3 linked regions of the Caenorhabditis elegans genome follow. The protein of the gene in region 1 purifies or fractionates together with the protein of each later gene. This does not show direct contact. Each region holds a gene or a part of one and is shown on either strand. Other genes may lie near its edges.

Region 1 (4,137 bases):
GGTTTGGTTTCTGAGTAGGACAAAGGATAACTGAAGAATGTCATACATTTTCAAAACGTACAGTTTTTGTGAGATATTTGACAGCAATTCCCGCGTTGTTGACAAGTAAATTGAGTCCATCAGATCCAACTATTTCTTCAACTTTTGTCACAAAAGAATCAATTGATTTATCACAAGTTACTATCAATGGAAGAACATGAACATGTGGATCATTGATAGCTTTTAAATCCTGAATATTGAGAATAATATTTAGCTCAAAATGTAATAATCACTTACAGTAGCCTTTTCAACATCTCTAACAGTTGCAATAATATGAAGAATATTCTTATCTTTCACGAATTCTTGAACAAGTCCAAGTCCGATTCCACGATTTGCTCCAGTAATGACAACACTTTTTGGAGACATAATGAACCTGAATACCTGAATTTAATTAATCAGACTGTCTTTGGGGAGAACTAATTGAACTTGTATACAAAATTGGTCAAAGATCGGAAAGGAAGAGGCAACAGAAAGTCTCAAAAAATGGCATAGACGAGCAACAAAGTAAATAGAAATAGAGGAAGAGGCACAGAAAATGAAACAAAATCTGTAGTTCGTTTGTAGTCAAAAGGAAACAAACACTTCCCACAAAAAATTATTGAAATGGCTTTCCTAGTTCATTTTCCAATTGTAAATTGCACACAAACATTGAAAATTGATGAAAATAGTTTTCATGGCAATTTACCATAGTAAGAAACTGGTTTTCGACAACGACAAAAGGTAATTTTAGTTTGTTTATTTTCAATTAACTTCCGATGCAAAAAAGGTGGGAAAAAAATAAAAAGATTTTAGAATTCATATGGCTTCAAATTTCTCATAAAGAATCTTCCATTGTGAGAGTTGTCAAGCTTATTGAAACTGGAAATCAGCTCGGCGGTGGATTGTTCAACCTGAAAAATGATCGGAATAACAATTTCTAAACTGATAATTAATCGATTCGTTTACTTACCGTGAGTGCTGCATTCTTCCCTCCTAAATTGGTTTGCACCCATCCTGGACAGAAGTTAACAACCAACACATTATCATCCTTCAAGTCAACAGCAAGAGTTCTTCCGAACATATTGATAGCAGCTTTGCTCATTCTGTAGGCGAGAACTGGGAATTGTGCAGATCCAGATGTGTTGTCAGTGATGGAACCAAGTCCAGATGAGATAGTGATTACAGCAGCACGTGAAACGGAAAGTTGATCTCCAGATTCTTTGGATGCTGCATTTTTGAGCAGTGGTAATAACTTTTGAGTGAGAAGGACCACACTAGTCGTATTTACATCTAGTTGTTCGGCGATGACGGCACGGTTAGGCTCCTTCAAAATTGGCCATATTAATAATTATTATAAGATGCATAAATGTCTAATGAAATATACTTTTGAATGAAATCGAAATTCTTATTTTTTAGTTAATAATCAAATACTGAACAACTTTTAAAAACAATCAAAGAAAAAATAACATGTAACTATCATAACGTACCGTATTCGTTCCGTAGCTCAGCAGAACTCCAGCGTTATTTATCAGCAAGCTGAGCCCATCAGATCCAACAATTTCTCCAACTTTCGACACAAAAGTGTCAAGTGATTTATCACAAGTGACTGTCAATGGAAGTACATGAACACGTGAATCTTTAATAGATTTCAATTCCTAAAAAAACACTTTGGGATGACTAGCTCACTTGTAGAAAAAAAAACTTACAGTAGCCTTCTCAACGTCTCTAGCAGTTGCAATAATATGACGAATGTTCTTATCTTTGACGAGTTGCTGGACAAGTCCAAGTCCAATACCACGGTTGGCTCCGGTCACAACAACACTTCCTGGCGACATTTTTTTAAATTTTCTGTAAAAGTGAATAATTTGAGAACAAAACTATTGTTTCCATGATTAAAAAAGCAGAAACAAGCTTGAGATATTTGAAGACACAAAATCTGTTTTTCTATATAGAAAAGTCTCTTATATACGGAGAACACCAGGGTCAAAATGTAGGAGACCACAGCGAAAATGATGACATTGGAGTAAAATAGATGACTAAATAGCGACAGCTGGAGAGACGCGGGCATCGTAGTGACATTGTAGTTACACCGTATTGAAGTAAATACGAAGACATTTATATTTAGAAAAACAAATAAATATGCCGATATTTAGAAAATAAAATAAACATGTTTTGAAATACAAGAAAAACTACATAAACTTTTATTGAATCTACAATAGAAATAAACTAAACAATTGGACGCTTTGAATCAAATTGATCTTTCGTCACAAAAAGTGGTCACAAAATTTTGTGGTTTTGGATTTAATTTTTTTGGAATTGAGAAAAACCTATTTGAAAACGAGTATTTCGAGAAATGCACTTAAAAAGGATACGGTGTGAGATCTTTTTGGAAGAATCCTCCATTGTGAGAATTGTTGAGCTTGTTGAAGCTGGCCACTAGTTCGGCAGTTGATTGTTCAACCTGGAAATTAATTTAATTTATATTTTAAAACTTTCTAAGCTCACCGTCAAAAGGGCCTTCTCTCCTCCCATATCAGTCTTCACCCATCCAGGACCAATACTGGCTACCAGAATATGATCATCTTTCATATCATTTGCAAGAGCTCTACCAAACATATTAATGGCAGCTTTGCTAATTCTGTAAGCAAATGCATTTGGAGCATGGCCTCCTGTGGCAAAATCAGTCATTGATGCAAGTCCAGATGAGATAGTGACTACAGCAGCACGTGAAGCGGAAAGTTGATCTCCAGACACTTTTGAGGATGCCTTGATGAGAAGTGGCATCAGTTTTTGAGTGAGAATAACCACACTGGTCGTGTTCACATTCAGCTGCTCGGCAAACAGTGCACGGTTTGGTTTCTGAAAATTTGATATTTTAATGGATAAATTATATCTGTGTATTTCTTCCCCGACTATCACCCGAATAATGTAAAATTGATTGTGTTTGAAAACTTTCAGAAAAAATTGGACAACACGTTGACAAATCTTCACTGTTAGTGAGCTTTGGAAATAGTCAACTAATCCATTTCCTAATTTAATCTTGTACCCGAACTTTTTTTAAACATACCGCTTTACATGGATAATCCACCGCGTTTCCCGCATTATTGACAAGCAGGTTAAGTCCATCAGATCCAACAATTTCTTCAACTTTTGAGACAAAAGTATCCATTGATTTATCACAAGTAACTTCCAATTGGAGAGCAGTAACACGAGGATCACTAATTGCTTTCAAATCCTGAAACGTTTTTTGTGCCCGAAATATCAGACATTGAAAAAAAAATTAACTTACTGTTGCTTTCTCAACATCTCTAGCAGTTGCAATAATATGACGAATATTCTTATCTTTCACGAATTCTTGAACAAGTCCAAGTCCGATTCCACGATTTGCTCCAGTAATGACAACACTTTTTGGAGACATGACTGAGGACGAAAAATCAGACTAATCGAAAGGAATATAACAAGACATGTTAACGTGGAACAAAATTCACCACATAAAAGCTCACGGGAAAAATAGTTCAAAAAAAATCTCCACGTTAAAACACAAACAGTTTGCATCTTCTCGCGAAACACTTATTCTCAGCGATCGAAGGTCAGAAAATAGATGACATTGATTTTCCGAAAAAAGAAAAAAGTGTAGAGTGATAACTGGAAACAAACAAAATGTCATCCGTTTATTGAGACTGATTGAAAAGTCTTGAATCATGAAAAAAATGACATAACTTTATGACTGTTTGAGAAACAGAAAACTCTCAATGTTTTTAGAATGAGTGTGGATTGAGGTTTCTGTCAAAGTATCTTCCACTGTGAGAGTTGTTTAGTTTGTAGAAACTGGCAGTTAACTCTGTTGTTGATTCTTCAACCTAAAAGCAAAATTTGTGAAAATTAAGAGCTAAAGTGTAAGAATCACTTACAGTGTAGGTAGCCAGTGGTCCTCCTAATCCAGTTTGAACCCATCCTGGACAGAAGTTGACCACCAAAATATGATCATCTTTCAGATCAATTGCCAATGTTCTACCAAACATATTAACTGCAGCCTTGCTCATTCTGTATGCTAGCACATCTGGAGGGAAAGTTGATGTTTTTTTTTAAACTACACTTGTAGTGTTGACATCAAGTTGA
Region 2 (3,666 bases), 4.5 Mb from region 1:
AAAATTTTCATGTTGATTGAATACTATAAAACGTCATTCTCGTGATTCACACTTTCCGAAAACACTTCGAGATAAACGTTGTGCCATAACCCGATAGACATCAAAATATCTAACCGTTTTCCCTGTTTTCGAACTATTCCCCTCTAGATAATTGCCGTAGAGAACCACAGGCACGGATATTTTTTCAATTCGAAAGCGTAACAAATTACAAACCAGTTATGTGTCTCCGCCTAGAACCGATCTCAATTTGGATGTATAAAAACCGTGCTGATAGCTCTGAAAATAACATCATCATTTTTTAAGTTTGGTTTCATATGTTCTTTTCGCAAGCATCTTCTTTCTGTATCTCATCAAAATAAAAAATTAATATTTGTTCAGAAAATGTGCAAACTCTTCGTCGCCGTTGCACTTCTCGCTGTTGCCATCTATGCTGCTCCACCAGTACCACCAAGTGGTAGGAAATTTTTATATTTTGAACTTTGAAAAACTCTGAATCTGATTTTCAGCCGAGGAGGTGAAAGCTCAACTTGTCGCCGCTGGGCTCTCGGAGACTTCTGCCGCAGGAATCGTCGAGGTTGCCGAGAAGTACAAGACTCAACTCGAAGCTCTCAAGGATAACAAGGACGATAAGGAAGCAATAAAGAAGGTTTTCGAGGAGATCAAGACTGACACGGATGCCTACATCAAGACTCAACCAGAAGCTGATCAGAAAGCTTATGCCACCTATATCGAGTCTAAGAAGAAGGAATTCGAGGGACACCACTCTACTCCAGCTCACTAAATATTTTCTGATGTTGTTGCTCGAAATGCACATATATACATTTTCCCTTGACTTTTTGTATTGAATGAATCGAATTTTCTGTTTGAAATGTTGACAAGTCTCTTGTAAAAATTAGAACCTGCCATAAGAAAAGCATGCCTACCTACATGCCTAAAAGACAAACCCTGATCGCCGCGAAGGAGAAGTACATTTTGACAAACCGTGAAAAAACGTTTATTCGGGCCGGAGCATAACACGGTAATGATACATCTATTTCAAGTCCAGTTATTATTGACCTGAAGGTAACTTGTAGACCTGTTGGTGCCTGCAATGACGCCCACCCTGTGTTAATAAATACCAGGTTGAAACTTGATATTATTTTCGCTTCTGTAACTATTATTCCAGCTATTTATCGTTTTAAGTCTGAGCTATTAGCAAAATTAGGAACATGGAATAGCTTAGTATCATTATTATTACTATTATTATTATTTAATACGTTTACATAGATAGATAGAGTAAGTAGGTAGGTAGATAGGTAGGTAGGTAGGTTTTTAAAACAAGGGAAAAAGATTGGGTTGTTCTCGATATTTCACCCGTTACTGTAGTCTTATGTCTGGATGAAGCACATATGGAATGATTCGCGAAATTAAAGTTTTATTTTCAAATAAAAAATGGTTCCATATTCAAAAAAATTGATATTTAAGCACTTTCGGCAGCAGCAGCTTCCTTGTGAGCTTGGAAGTGCTCCTTGGCCTTCTCAACGAATGCTTTGTAAGCGGTCTGATCAGCTTCAGATTGGGTGGCGATGTAGGCATCAGACTCGGACTTCATGCTATCGAAAACTTTCTTTCCAGCTTCATGATCTCCCTTGGTGAGAGCCTGGAATTGGCTCTTGTACTTATCTCCGATTTCAACGAGTCCAGCGGCAGCAGCCTCGGAGACTCCACCCTCAACGAGCTTGGCCTTCATCTCATCAGCTTAAAATTATAAGGGTTTTAAGAAGAACGTTGAAATGAAAAACTTCTACCTGATGGCATTTGATGAGCATAAACGACAGCGAGAAGGGCAACGGCGACGAAAAGTTTGCACATTTTGAAAGTTGGAAGTGAATTGAATTGAAATTACTACAACCTGTCGACTATTTATACGAATCGAATTGTGACGACACGTAGTGGTGATTAGTGGCAAGGCACATTTGACACAAAAACGATTGGTTCTAAAATCCGGTTTGAATATTGAATTGGACTACACACACTCTCACTACAACATGGTTTTTTCAGTTTATGATTTGTTGCCCAACAGTTCAATTCATAGACATTCGCATCAATTGCGGAGGATCAAACGATTTCAGTTTCGAACTTTTCAAAAAATGTGTAACTGAACTTTCTGTTAAATCTGATGTTTTAATATTTTTTGTGGTATGAAAATAATTTTTTCATCAAAAAATTTATTTGAAATTCCCTCCATTTTCTATCGGCTAAACAACACGCGCCGCGTAACGATGGAGCATCGTTGTGCATTTTTCGCGAGATAATTTTTTTTTAATTTTCGTAATTAAAATTTCAACTCTTCCGTGCCTGGTCATTGAAAAATGGTAAGTTTTAAATATTTTTAGAATCAGAAAATAAATTTATAGTTTTTTAAAAGTTTCTCTTCTAATATTCCGCTAATTTTAGCATTTTTAAATCTCACTATTAGTTAAAATAAATATATTCAACAAAAAATTCCGGTGTGCTGTTTAATGCTACATATTATTTTTCAGGCCGACACAAGTCCACGTGAATCCAAACTGAACAAGCAGGATCAAGATCTTCATCTCGAAATTGATGAAACTGGATTAGCCTGCAAAAGTGAAGTGAAGAAAAGATGGCTCGGAGCACGTGGAACAGCCGGATTATATGGAAATGGAAAGTATTACTATGAAGTTACAATTACAAGTAAAGGACTGTGCAGAGTTGGCTGGGCTACTCTCGGTGGAAGTTTGAATATTGGTAATACTTTTTTGCATTGTGCAAAATTATTCTTTATTCCAATTAAAATGTTCCAGGTAAAGGACTGGATAGTTTCGGTTATGGTGGGACTGGAATGAAGTCAACCCACAAAAAGTTCGATGATTATGGTCTCCCATTCACTCTGAACGATGTGATCGGTTGCTATCTTGACCTGGATTCCCGTACCATCTGGTGGTCAAAAAATGGAGAACAATTTCCCGCCGCTTTTTCCATCGATGTGAAATACAAAAACTCGAACACGTGTCTCTTCCCGGCGGTCTTATGTCAAAACTCAAGCCTCTCAGTCAACTTTGGATCTCAACCGTTCAAATTTCCCCCGGGAAATCAGTTTACTGCGGTTTCCGATGCTCCAAATGAAAATGTGAATTGGTGGAGCTATGAGGAGCAAAACTCATTCGAACATGTAGTGGTGAAACTACCGTTTGCAGTAGAAGAAGATGTTCATAATGAGTTCAGAATGCATACCAAACTGATGCTCACTGAAGTAATTTAAAGTGGAAAATAAAGGTTTTTGAATTTTCAATTTACAGCTAAAGAGGACTCAATGCAAGCAGGACAAGGATGGATCTATTCGAAGAACTCTTCAGCCGATCAGCAAGTATGGGTGTTTCTGGAGCCAAAAAATAAATATAGATTTCAGAACAATTTGCGCATTTCTGAACACTGACGGTGGACGGCTTTTTCTGGGTGTCAACGATGATAAAGTTATTAAAGGAATTTCGATGAGCAAGAACATGGCTAGTTTTTAATAATAAAAACGCACAATTAGCTAGTTGGATTTTCAGATATACCATTTCTTCGGTTCTCTGCGACACATGTGTGAAAATTTTAAACCATGCAGTCCGCTATGTCGTATCAAAGTCTCCATTCTCGAAGTTATCCCGGTGGGAGTGA
Region 3 (5,010 bases), on another chromosome or scaffold:
TCCTCGCAGAAAAATCAACTTACATATGCCTCGTTTTGTACGACACTAACATTTTCATCATTAGGATGAGAGCATTTTTGGAATAACTTCAATGTTGTTTCATTAATCAAGCAGGCATTAAGAAAGTCGCCAAGATGAACATTGTTACGGTGTAATTCACTTTCGAGTACAGTATATTTTTTGTTATGAGGGCTGAAAAATATCAAAGAGTTCTATGTACAATTGTTAGTGTTTGATTTATATTCCTTCATATTTTTGCGAAAGTGTGTTTAAATGATATCAGAATTTTTAGCAACAACAATTTTAATGAGAAAAATTTTGTTATCGACTCGGACCATATGAAGTTACCTCAACCCAAATAAAATAATAACTGATCCACTATTCGCGTACACGCATCGGTTGACAGCAAAAAACGTAAGCGAATCTGAGGCCATCTGCGACAGAAATTATAAAATCAATACATGAAAGATAGGCAAAAAAAGTAGTTTTTCTTATCTTGAAAGTGGAATCAAACTTTTGGTTTGAAATTTTTGTGATTCGCGGTTTTCGGAAAAATGCTGCACGAGAAAGTCGTAACTGAAAACGCTTTTTGTGATAGGAAATAAATATTGAAAATGAGCATTGAAATATCAAGAGAACCAAACTTTAATATTTTTTATAAAATACACAAATAAAACTGTAGTTTTGATGATATGTATTTAGGAGATGTATTTTTTGCTTTATTAAATGTTGTCTATCCGCACTGTTTCAGATATTAGATTTTTAAAATTAAAAATCCTAGAACCATTCACAACACTTGAATAACTTAATTTTTTTTTAATATAGAAAGATTGACGGTGGAAAAATTGCTTACTTTTACAATTAAACATGAAAAAGCAAACGTAAATAAATTCTGAAACATAGAATGCCGCCTTAAAACACAATTAATTCAGAAGAAAAGAAGTAAAAAAGAATTTAAGTTAGTTAGAAAAGCTGATGTCCTTATTGTCACCAGTTACAAAATCTTAGTAACCATCCAAACATAGTCCTTCTCTCCAACTCCACGGCGTTCAATCTTGACGGTTTTTCCTATGCATCCAGCAGTTAATTTAGTTTCATCAGTGCTTCCTTCCAGCTAAAACATTTTTTGTCTTATAAATAGAACAGCTGATCGAAAACTCACCAATTCTCCGATGTACTTTGCTGTTCCAGTTGAGAATTTTTGATTGACTCCTGCCGGTGTAAATTTGGTTATTTTAACCGTCAAAAATAGTTTCTCTTTATCATTGATGCCGCCGTGCAAAAGCTCAGTTATTGGCCCTTTGTACTCTTTACAAACACATCTTCCATCTTCCTGTTTCTGGAAAGTTCCTTCAAAATGATGACCCAGTGCCAAAACATACTTTGTAGTTTTGAACAATCCTTCACTGAAAAATAGAAGTTTCAATTAACAAAAATTATTTCCGATGTTTCCATCGTGTGTCCAATGCCAAGTATACGAGATTCCCGATGGACATATCAAACATTGCTTGTGAAGTAAATTCAAACAAACTAACGTTTTTGAATCGAGATTCCACAAGTAATATAAACCAGGTCGTTTTTCGTCAATACTTGTGACAACGGCCCGCTGCTTTTCCTCTTTTGTTTGCGAAGTCGTAAATCCTTCGCCAACAATTTGTCCTGGCTTTTCAGAGTTTTTATCTTTTTTCGATGGTTGAAATCCAGTACCAACGATTTTTTCCTCCTTTTTGGGAGGTTTAGGAAATCCCGAGCCAGCAACTTTATTGTTGTTTGCCGGGGTTACCTGTTTTTGTGGAGATGGGAATCCGCTTCCCACCACTTTTGTATTTTGTTTTGGAGTTTGAGGCCGTTGGAATCCCTTTCCTACGACCGTCGAATTTGGTTTTGGCGATTCCGTTCTTGAAGCCGACGAGAATCCAGTTCCAACAATAGGTTCTGGTTTCTTAGCAGTAGTTGAAAATCCGGAGCCTACTTTTTGTCCGGAGTTTACAAACCTTTCGTTTGGTGCTTGAGCTGCAATGTCAACAGCTTCAAAATGAACAATTTTTCCAGGTATCATTTCGCGAGATGTATTTAATCTGAAAAAAAAATGTGATTCATTTATATCAGTCTTTCATTTTCGGTGCAAACAAGAAGCATATGACGCATAAATATACTCTCGAACTGATAACAAATTGTAAAAACCAACAATTCACCTTTCATGTTATTGTATTTTGCATTTCAATAAAATTCAAAGATTTTTCAAAATTTTTCACACAAAATTTCAACAAAATTGCAATAGAATTTCAACTTACAGTCTCATTGTGATGACGTATCTTCCTGTTTGTATTACAGGCCAGCATCGGATATCATCAAAAAGTGGGCATTGAAATAGCAAAAGTCCATTTTGAGAAATTAGGTTGACTTTGAGATTTACCACCTAAGAACGTGTATTGTTAATATTCATTTTAACAAGAACTCAAAAACTTACAATAGCTTCATCCCCGTTGATAACTGTTGAAATGTCTGCAGTATGTTTGGTTTGTGAAATTTCGTACAATTCTCTCGCTCTGTTGGTTCTGCATTTGAGAAAATCTCCAAGCTGAACTCTATAGTCTCTACGAAGTAATTCCTCATTCATCAAAAAACGCTGTCCAGACTTTGGATTGACTAGAATAAGCTGACCCTGGTCTCTTCGAGCAGCAAATAAAAAATACTGCGGATCTGGCATCGTGAAGTTGTTCATGTTTTTTTTTCAAATAAAATACTTTAGTGTTGTTTTTAGTGAACAAGGCTCAGGTTTCCCAATCTGAAATTGAAAATGTTTCTATTGATTACATTTCAGAAAAGAAAAAAGAACGAAAAGACAAATACATATAACGGGAAAGTCGAAAGAAAACTGATAACGCTACAACACTGTCATCGTTTTGGAAAGTTCAGTTTTATAGTTCATACTGCTCCGCCCATAACTTCCTCAGTCTTAAATTGTTGAATGTGGCGTTTATATCTGGAATAAACACAGTGATTCATTATTTGTAAAGAATCAATCATAAAAAGTTATTGTGGTTTTTGTGGAGCGTATACATGACGACTTTTCTGGTACTGTTTCTACAAGTTATTTATAAAACGTTGAAACAGCACATTTCATAATCGAAGTAAAACGTAGCATTACGGGGGATTACGTTGTACAAAATAATACATCCACTCGATGGGATTTTTTTCGAAGAATTTTCAACGCAACTTCTTATGCAAATAAATAAAACACAATCACATACATTTTAGAATAGTACTCCTTATATGCAATTGTGTCTTATTTTTCAATCTGAGTAAAAAATAAGATAAATTTCAACCGTTTCATGACTATGCATAGTGTTCAATTTATCAATTTTAAAGTTTCATCCCGTTTTCTATCGTTGACGCGTGACAAGTGATGAAATGCTCCTAACAGGAATGCGAATGGTGATTCATATGTTCTGAACTCTTAGTAAAAGTTTAATTTGCTGACACAGGTTTAACGTATTTTTCTGTTAGTTTTGCACTTATAAGGAATCGAAAAATAGTTTTTAAAAAATATAAATAGTTTTGCACAAAAAACTATTGATCCATTTTGGACATCATTTAAGATATTGTGAACATATTTTCATTGTTTTCACTGTCTCAAACAGGATCCGTCCAAAAAACCCCTCAAGAACCTTTAAAACTCTATAACTTTGATGTCGCTGATGAACCAACTTACCTTACTTGTAACTTACTTGTGTAATTTGACAACATTTCTGGAAGTTTCAAACAAAAAGCAACGCACTTAGTTTTCCAACTTTATAGATATAGGTATTAATATTCAATAAACATTATAAAGAAAAAACTTATATGTGATTCTTACTTTTACAATTAAACATGAACAAGCAAGGATTAAAATATTCTGAAACAGAAAATGTTTTTTGTCAAACAATACATTTCTGAATTTAAAGTAAAAAATAATATTTGAGGCCGTTGGAATCCTTTTCCAACGACCGTCGAAACATACATTTGAAGTTGATTAAAAGATTTTTTGGTCGTATTGGCTACAGTTACGAATCTCGGTAACCATCCAAACAAAGTCCTTCTCTCCAAATTTACGTCGTTCAATGTTGACCTTTTTTCCGATGCATTCAATTGTGAGTTTAGTGTCTTCCGTGTTTCCTTCTAACTAAAACTAGGATTTTGAATCAAGAAACTTGTGTAAAAACGTACCACATCTCCTATATATTTTGCAGTCCCACTTGCACGTCTTCTGTTAACCCCTGCTGGTTGAAAATCGAGCAGTTTAACAGTTAAATTCACCTTATTTGTATCATTCACTTTGCCTTCCAAAACTCGTTCTATTTCACCTATATATTCTTTGCAAAAGCATTTTCCATTTTCCTGGTTTACAAAAATTCCTGCAAATTGATGGCCTAATTCCAACGGGGTTGTTGATTTGAGCAAGCCTTCACTGAAAAATAATGCTGTCAGGTAAAAAAAATATTTTAAACAAACTAACGTTTTTGAATCGAGATTCCACAAGTAATATGTACCAGGTCGTTTTGCGTCGATACTTGTCACAACAGCTCTTTGCTTCTCTCCTATCGTTTGTGAAGTAGTAAATCCTTTGCCAACTGTTGAGCCTGGCTTTTCATTGTTTTTCTTTTGTTGCAATAATTCGGATCCGAAAACATTTTCTTCTCTTTTTGTAGATTTTGGAAATCCCGTGCCCATAATTTTGTTTGCCGGAGTTTCTTCTTTTTTTACTAATGGGCATCCGGGTCCAACAACCTGTGTGCCCTGCTGTGAAACTATTTTTTTGCTACCTGCAGGATAAATTAAGTTCTGTGGAGATGGTAATCCCGCTGCCGGAGATTGCGAAAATCCAGCACTCGATTCAGTTTTTTCAGAAGCCGCGGAATATCCGGAATCAATGTTCTGTTGAAAATTCCCTTGTTGTTTGTTTAGTTCTATTGATTTCACCGATCCAGTAATTTTTACAACTTCATAATGAATCATTCTGCCGCTCAT

Evidence for each region.
Region 2: the proteins of sdz-8 (region 1) and spig-1 fractionate together in Caenorhabditis elegans (co-fractionation; one large-scale study listed by BioGRID). This does not show direct contact.
Region 3: the proteins of sdz-8 (region 1) and C49A9.9 fractionate together in Caenorhabditis elegans (co-fractionation; one large-scale study listed by BioGRID). This does not show direct contact.

The regions. Positions count from the first base shown.
Region 1 is NC_003283.11:11,514,326-11,518,462, forward strand, and holds sdz-8 (C-factor), read right to left. Parts: upstream 1,867-4,137; 5' UTR 1,854-1,866; coding exon 1,725-1,853; intron 1,674-1,724; coding exon 1,506-1,673; intron 1,343-1,505; coding exon 989-1,342; intron 930-988; coding exon 828-929; 3' UTR 761-827; downstream 1-760. Other genes in the region: C55A6.6 (DeHydrogenases, Short chain), read right to left, coding at 1-10, 62-229, 277-405; C55A6.4 (DeHydrogenases, Short chain), read right to left, coding at 2,378-2,479, 2,524-2,877, 3,086-3,253, 3,308-3,436.
Region 2 is NC_003283.11:7,049,913-7,053,578, reverse strand, and holds spig-1 (DUF4473 domain-containing protein), read right to left. Parts: upstream 1,865-3,666; 5' UTR 1,852-1,864; coding exon 1,788-1,851; intron 1,738-1,787; coding exon 1,460-1,737; 3' UTR 1,400-1,459; downstream 1-1,399. Other genes in the region: txt-17 (transcellular chaperone signaling (x)cross tissue), read left to right, coding at 382-454, 507-781; tofu-2 (Schlafen-like protein 2), read left to right, coding at 2,352-2,354, 2,523-2,751, 2,808-3,256, 3,303-3,370, 3,413-3,509, 3,558-3,666.
Region 3 is NC_003282.8:6,215,150-6,220,159, reverse strand, and holds C49A9.9 (FHA domain-containing protein), read right to left. Parts: upstream 2,789-5,010; 5' UTR 2,726-2,788; coding exon 2,471-2,725; intron 2,420-2,470; coding exon 2,295-2,419; intron 2,079-2,294; coding exon 1,536-2,078; exon of another isoform or gene 1,407-1,535; coding exon 1,163-1,406; intron 1,115-1,162; coding exon 995-1,114; 3' UTR 713-994; downstream 1-712. Other genes in the region: C49A9.4 (Cadherin domain-containing protein), read right to left, coding at 24-192, 349-434; C49A9.5 (DUF272 domain-containing protein), read right to left, coding at 4,016-4,165, 4,210-4,450, 4,499-5,010.